2 linked regions of the Tribolium castaneum genome follow. The protein of the gene in region 2 purifies or fractionates together with the protein of the main gene of each other region. This does not show direct contact. Links are inferred from orthologs where the notes say so. Each region holds a gene or a part of one and is shown on either strand. Other genes may lie near its edges. The genes, in order: Pop4 and Rpp30.

Region 1 (3,552 bases), on a different chromosome or scaffold from region 2:
CACAAATCCCCTAAACAACATAACCTAAAGTGTCACCAGTTTATTACGATGAATTTACAAAAAAAATGATGCAAGTCGGGTTAAGACTAGGCAAAAACGGCACTAAAGGCCCCCCTTGTGTGCTCCGAATCGACTGCGTGTTCTACCACTACTTGCTGAAGGAGTTGAGGTTAAGTCGCTTCTACCGGATTTGCTTCATAAAATCGCAAAACAGCCGCAACTTTAGCTTTATTCTCCTGGAGACACGTTACAACCTAATTGACTACCAATGGTGAGTCAATTAGTGTCAAAATTGGGGGCTAACACTTTTTCAGGAACGAACGAGTGGTGGAAATGGTGCGCGAGCGGTGCGAGCTGGACCACGCCATGTCGTGGTTGTCCACCCTCGGGGGGGCTTTTTCAGCCCTTGGTGACTACTTCGCGAATTGTGCCCAAATCGCCGGGAAAATCTCCGTGAATCAATTGAAGCTAGCTTTGAGGTTAGGTGACCCGACTGTGGCCGCCAGATGTCGCCTCTACTTTAGTCTAAGTTTAATTCAACAAAAACGCTTCAAACTGGCCAGGAACATAATTTATCAGGAGTTCACAACCGCGAAAAATGCACTTGTTGTGGACGAACGACTTGTAAAGATGTGTAAAGGCATTTGGTCGAAATTACAATATGAGCATAGCTTGGGGCGTAAGCGCAAAAAATAAATCACAAATCTGGTAACATCACCGACTTGATTTTTTTAACGCTGCGCTCGCTGGGCTTCGTCATTATGTGTTTGCCGAAAACTGTGAACTTCATGGCGTCCAAGACGAACTCGAACACGGACGTGTTTTTTGGAATAACTGAAATCAAGCGATTTAGAGACGATTTAAAATTATTGCTTGAAATACTTTTCAATTGTGATTGTTGTGTGACGATCTGGAACGTCATTTTCGTTTCCAAGACAACGGTCCCAGTCAGGCCCACGTGACTGGGGCACTTGGACCGCGCCACCTTGATCTCGCTCCCGATTAGCTCAGATTTGGCCAAAACTGCCGAAAAGTTGGCCCAGTCTTGCTCACTACAGTGGGGCGCACGCCCGGCCAATTCCAGGTTCTGTCTCATGTATTGACGCCACATTTTCCTGATCCCTTCAAGTGAATTGTAATCCCAGTCTGACTTTGGCAATTTTAAAATGTTAAGGTCTTTTCGCTCCCTTCGAGTGAGAAAAGTCTTCTTTTTCCGGATCGGTTTTTTTCGCTTTTGCGAACTTTGGTGTTTGTCGAGGAGGAATTGCCATTTCAGGTCGTGGCGTAGCTGTTGGGAGTCGCTTCTAGGGAGTTCCTTCAGGAGCAGTTTTTGGATGTAGGTGGTGGGGTCCCCGATCTCGGGGGCGTTTTTGAGGTACTGGTCGGGCAAGCTCGTGTATAAATCTGGGGGAAAAACAGCAATAAAACGTTTAAATGCTGGTTTTAAGCGATTTACCGGCCATTGGAAAAAACGAGGTTAACTGATGTCAATCACAAGTGGCGCGAAGTTTAAATTTGAGTAAAAGCGCCGTAACTTTCTCTTTTTTTATTGTTATTCGGGTGTCAAAGGTCGGAATTTTTATTAAAGTGCGGTGTTGACAAAGTTGGGTTAATTTCGTTAATTGGCGGTTGATTCGGAATTATTCGAAATGTGAAATTCGTTAATTTTCTCTCAAATCTGGCAGACGCGTCTCTTTTTTCGTGTGAATTGCCGCTGTCTCCGCTTTAAGTGAATTATGAAAGGATGAGATATGTCTGGGAACGAACCGCCAATTGTGCGTTTTTGTGGGTTACGTATTTCCATTTATAACTTTCTTTTGACGAGACGCATCTTTTATTATTACATTACATTACGAATTGAACTATTGCACAGGAAAGTACAAGTCACGTCTAAGATTAATTTTCAAAATGTCACTTCAACTGTCTCTTCATGTTACGTTATAGTCGAGATTCGTTGCGATAAAGTATAATAAAAAAAGTTTCCAGTTTGTTTAACAGCATAGGTAATAGAGTTAGCTATTGTCGGGGTCTGAAAGGTCGGCTACTTTCAGGTCAAAGGAAGTCAGGCGGAAAGTTCCTTGTTTGATTCGATTTTTGGGACTAATTAGTAATTAAGGAACTGGAGAAGCAATCTGGCATAATAATGAAATGTTCAAACATCCACTCACTCTACACCTTATTTGAAATCAGTGCTATTTATGGCCAAAGCCATCAATAATTTTTTTGATCGAAGCTTTAGTCGCTTGTGAATTTTTTCAAATTTTTTCTACCCTTTCCTAATTAAAATTCGGAAAAATATCACAGGCATTGAAAAAATATAAATGATTTAAGAGCAAAATCCTGATTTTTGTGCGATTAGTAGTATTTGAGATTTTTTTTGCTTAAAATTTCGTTGGTCAAGGCAAATATATACCTTCATAAAAGTGAAAAATTTTTTTTTAACTCACTCCAGCAAATTTTTATGAACTTCTATATGTCTTAACAACCCACTAAAGTTGTTAAAAGTGCACAAAAAGTCCATTTGATCGATTTTTTGATGTTTGATTTTTCCAATTTTTGTTGCGATTTTGGTCAATTTTCGGCGCCCGGAACATTTATCGAGCAATAGCTCCGGAACTATTAGAGATAACACCATGAAGTGTATTATCGTTGGAAAGCTCTTTCAATTATCTATTTTTTTCAAAAAAGATTATAGTTCTCCGACTAATAGTTTTCGAGCAAATTGCAAATAAAAGCAAAAATTAGTAAAATTTTAAAAAATTCATAACTAAAAAAATATTCGGAATTTGGGAATTTTCTCGATGCCAATCGATTCCCCGGATCATTTTGCATAGGTATGGATCAAAATAGTTCCACTTTTTGGAATAGTTTAGCCGTAATTGAGAAAAAAATAAAAATAAAAAAAAGTTAACACAAAAAAAATTCATAACTAAAAAACTAAAGGTCGTAGAGCAATGCGGTTTGTTCCATTGAATTCAGCGGCTCATTTTCTGTATTATACCAACTTTTCACGAGATTTAAAATTTTGATTTTTTTGCTAAAATTTCCTGAGTAACACACTTACCTTCACGAAAGTGAAAAAATTAAATTTTTTTAAAACTCGTTCTATCATAGTTTTTCGGACTTATATATGCCTTTACAACCCTCTAGAGTTGTTAAAAGTCCAAAAAACGTCCATATGTTCAATTTTTTATGTTTGATTTTTCCAATTTTTGTCGCGATTTTGGTCGATTCCGGGTCTCCGGACATTTATCGAGCAATAACTCCGGAACTATTCGAGATAACCCCATGAAGTGTATTAGCGTTGGAAAGCTATTTTAATTATCTATCTTTTTCAAAAAAGATCATTGTTCTCCGACTAATAGTTTTCGAGAAAATTGCAAATAAAAGCAAAAATAGGTAAAATTTTAAAAAATTCATAATTAAAAAACTATTGGGAATTTGGCAATTTTCTCGATGCCAATCGATTCCCCGGATCATTTTGCATAGGTGTGAATCAAAATAGTTTCACTTTTTGGAATAGTTTAGTCGTAATTGAGAAAATAAAAAAAA
Region 2 (3,961 bases):
TTTCTTTCGTTGCAGGAGCGATTTTCGCGAATCGACGCCGATTGCGTCGATCGATCCGGGATTTATCGATGCTTTCGAGATAATCGACCGGTTTAGCCGGGTTCGCATGCACTGATTTACGAAAATCCGACGTTTGCGGAAACTTACCATGGACACCGTCGGCCTCTGTTCCGTTCAACTCTATCCCTTTTTGACACCGACGAAAAATGCACTTTCCACTACCTATCCGCAGTGTTAAACTATGCTACGTTGATAACCACATTTGTATTTGAGATATTTTACTTATTAGTTACACTTATCAACGATTATATACATGAATTCACTTAATTAAATTTTGTGTATAAACTGCACGTATAAATGAATACTCCATTTTATCATTACGCTTGTGATCGACGGTGCTGCCACCTTTCAAAGCGCCAAGTTTGAAATTACGCACCACTACACCGCACACCACTTCCGGTTCCAATTCAAACTCGAAATTTCTCACTCCTTCAATCAATAAATTGCCAATTTTGCACACACACGTGTAATTACTCCATATCCGATTATTACAAGACCCGGCAATGGATTGCATAAGCGACAATCAAACTTTCTTTGCAACAAAACTCGTATTGATTTATCAGACCTGTTAATTAGAATATTTATTATTTAAATATGAGAACTGCAATTAAAAACTAATTAGATCAGCACCTATTTATACATTCTCTTCTAGCAGCATAATTTTATTGTTAATAATAAAAAAAGACAATTTTAACTCCAATTATTTTATTGATAACACAATTAAAAAACACAATAAAAACTTATTGTTTAACTTTTTTTAATGCTGGTTGATCAATTTCCATGTCTTCTTCACTTTCGTCAACACAGTCTATTATTTCACAATCGTTTGAACTCTCTTCTTTTTCCACATTTTCAGCAAACATAACAGCCTTACCATGTTTTCGACCAACTAAAACATTAATAATTATTTTGTAACTACAAACGTATCTAATTTACCTGAATTGATAAAAACTTTGCGACCACAAGTTGTTATGGAATTTTTTGCTTGTTCTTCATTTAATCCAAATATTAAACCTCTACAAAAATAAAAAAACATTTCGTATTATTACTCCTATTTATAGCTTTGCATTTATTAAAATTACTACAAAGTTGTCTCCCTCAGCACCGTTAAGAAATTATTAGGTTGATAGCGATGCAAATTTTTTAGTTTGTAGAACTTTCACCCCTGCAGTGACAATGACTTAAAATTAAAATTGATTATTAACTGTTTCAAAACTGTAGAAATGCCAATTTAAATAATTTTTTTAAGTACATAAATAATTTATAACTTCCTGCCAAAAAATACATCTTTTCCCACCATTAGTCAGACCAGAAAAATTACATAATTAAACGAACGCACTTTAACTGTATTTGCGAATTTACTAATTAAAAAATATTTGATCCAATAATTAAGAATACCTACAAATTAATGATATCATAAGGCCCCCTAAGCAAAGAAGGTCTTTCGGCTAAGCTCGACACGATAACATTTCTTGACTTGATAAAAATGTGATATAGATGTGCCATGTGTATAATGTTTCTCCTTAAAGCGGCGTCTTCAATAGCAGGCGCGTAAGGTATTTCAAAATGATAGCCCCTGTCTATTAGCTGCTTGTACATTTTTCTTGAACGTTTAATGTGGTTTTTATTCTCTGGACGAAAGCATAATATGTCTGCTTCAAAGCTGCTACAAACAAACTACAAAAAAGTGTTAAACCGTTTTTGTTTGTTGAAAATCTTACCGCATTTGCTTGAACCGTTTCAGGTAAAACCGCGATTATGTGATATTTTTTGTAGTGTGAAGACTTTGTCTAAAATAATAATGTAACAAATTTATAACCTTATCAGGGTAACTTACAATTTTATGCATCACGTCTTGATTGGAAAAAATTATTGTTAAGCGGTTTAGAATAGTTAAGTCTTCGTAACCCTGCAATATTGATATTAATTTAAACAAAATCTCGGTAAAAATATTACTTCAAGTGGAGTTATTTTGTAGGGTTCTGGTACAAAATCTGAGGGGCCTTCTCTAAGTTCACCTTTTTTCTTCTTCTTTTTCTGCTCTAATTCATTTGCATCGATTGTTTGGTTTATTGCTATTGTCCTGTAACCGACTGAAATACATTTTCTCTCAGAAATTTGCTGTTAATAAAATTGTTTGCAACTCACAATCGTACAACAATTTAATGGTCGATTCATATTTGTTGTTGTCCAAACAATGCTCAGAGACACCGTAATCAAAAAAACCTCTGACTTCCAACTTCATGTTCCGTAATACTACTTTTTTATAAAAATAAATTTTTAAACAATCCCTAACCTAGCACTAGCACATGTTTACCACAATCTGTCAAAAGTCATCCTTCTCTGTCTAAATTTTTAAAAACTAATCTATCTGTCTCTGTTTTTTTGACGCACGTCAATTTGAAAGGTTATGTTCAAAATCTAAATTTGTTTATTTTAATTTAATAAAAACCATGTTTGTGACACGACTTTTAAGCAAAACGCGGCCGCAAAATCAGTGTCTCTATTTATTACAAAACTGTGTCCAGCGGAGACTGAAATCTGGCAAAAGTACAAAAACCCAACCCCCAGACACATCCCAAAGTACAACAAAGACACCTCTTGGCGAAATGAGCTCAAAATACCAGATTTTTCGAGATGAAGACTCCGAAGTCATACTCGATATTTACGAGGACCGGAGTAAATACGCAAATCCGGTGAATGCGATTGAAGAGGAGGAACCTGACCCTTTTGTGGGCCTTAATTTAGAGAGTATTACAATCACTAGTGTTTGAAACATTTTGTACATTGTCTCTTTGAAGGAGGTGTCAATGGTGTTTATAATATTGAAGACTTGATCGAAGTGCTTCACTCTGAAAATGCTGAAGACATTTTTGTGGCTGCGGTGCCTAAAGAAATTCAGTATGTTGAGTACATTTGCGTTGTTACTGGAAAGTCACACAAACATATGAAGGCAATTGCTCAGTTTGTTAGGATGATTTATAAGAAAAAAATGCACAAAACTGATCTTATCCCTAAGCTTGAAGGCGAAAATTCAAAGGATTGGTTAGCTTTAGATTTAGGTAATTTTTGTTTTTTGTTTTCAATTGTTTACTATCTGAAATTGTAGGAAATATAGCCCTTCACATATTTTCGCGCGAAGCTAGGACTGTATATGATTTAGATTCCTTATGGGCCCTGGGAGCGAAATATGACCCGGAATGTAATAAACAAGATCCTGTAGCGGAAATGTTGGAAAAACATTCGGTTTACTTGGAAGACTTACATCCTGCCAGATAATACACTAATCTGTTAAGTTATAGTAAAATAGTGTAAAATACAATATATGAAAATTGACTCATGTTTATCAATACTGATAACGCTGGAAATGGTTTATTATCTCAGTGTGTGATAAAATTTGACTCATCATGTCAGAAACCTGAATTTTTCTAAAAATGAGTGTTAACAAAGGAAAGGTTCACTTAAGGAAAACGTTTCTAAATTACGAACTCACGCCAAGACAGGACGTTATAATAAATTATTTCATTCCTTCAGTTTGTTCTTTCCTACTGTATGTTTTTTTGTTTGCAAGTGACTGTGCTGTGGTGTTCAGACACTACAAGGATAATGATCCCATATGGGCCTCCGTCACTTTATTTATTATTTATTTTCCCTCACTTTGTTCATACATTGTGCTAACATCATCATGGGAATTGTGGCCCGAAATGGAAGGCTGTGGGTGTGATAATTTCTTGTGGTGGTTGATTAAAACTTTGGAACATTTATTATTCCCAATCTGGGCTGTCTGGAGGTAAAAAAAATATTTGAGATAAGAATATGAATTAAATAATTCTAGATACGCCGAACGAATTTTCTGGTCAATTGAAGGAATGCGTTCAGATGATGAAAAATACATTTCCGA

Evidence for each region.
Region 1: the proteins of Rpp30 (region 2) and Pop4 purify together in Homo sapiens (affinity purification with mass spectrometry; 4 studies listed by BioGRID and IntAct, counting the BioPlex papers as one, with this or other methods). This does not show direct contact. The link is inferred for Tribolium castaneum from reciprocal best matches to the Homo sapiens genes RPP30 and POP4.

Annotation. Positions count from the first base shown.
Region 1 is NC_087401.1:15,382,550-15,386,101, reverse strand, and holds Pop4 (ribonuclease P protein subunit p29), read right to left. Parts: upstream 1,943-3,552; 5' UTR 1,464-1,942; coding exon 1,457-1,463; intron 1,405-1,456; coding exon 883-1,404; intron 835-882; coding exon 698-834; 3' UTR 697-697; downstream 1-696. Other genes in the region: uncharacterized protein F58A4.6, read left to right, coding at 66-271, 315-696. UniProt on the Homo sapiens protein: Component of ribonuclease P, a ribonucleoprotein complex that generates mature tRNA molecules by cleaving their 5'-ends.
Region 2 is NC_087398.1:7,285,354-7,289,314, forward strand, and holds Rpp30 (ribonuclease P protein subunit p30), read right to left. Parts: upstream 2,405-3,961; 5' UTR 2,306-2,404; coding exon 2,209-2,305; intron 2,154-2,208; coding exon 2,017-2,153; intron 1,970-2,016; coding exon 1,898-1,969; intron 1,851-1,897; coding exon 1,782-1,850; intron 1,738-1,781; coding exon 1,463-1,737; intron 1,077-1,462; coding exon 997-1,076; intron 950-996; coding exon 801-949; 3' UTR 749-800; downstream 1-748. Other genes in the region: uncharacterized protein LOC658939, read left to right, coding at 2,514-2,811, 2,862-3,122, 3,170-3,339; uncharacterized protein LOC103313092, read left to right, coding at 3,495-3,850, 3,896-3,961. UniProt on the Homo sapiens protein: Component of ribonuclease P, a ribonucleoprotein complex that generates mature tRNA molecules by cleaving their 5'-ends. Also a component of the MRP ribonuclease complex, which cleaves pre-rRNA sequences.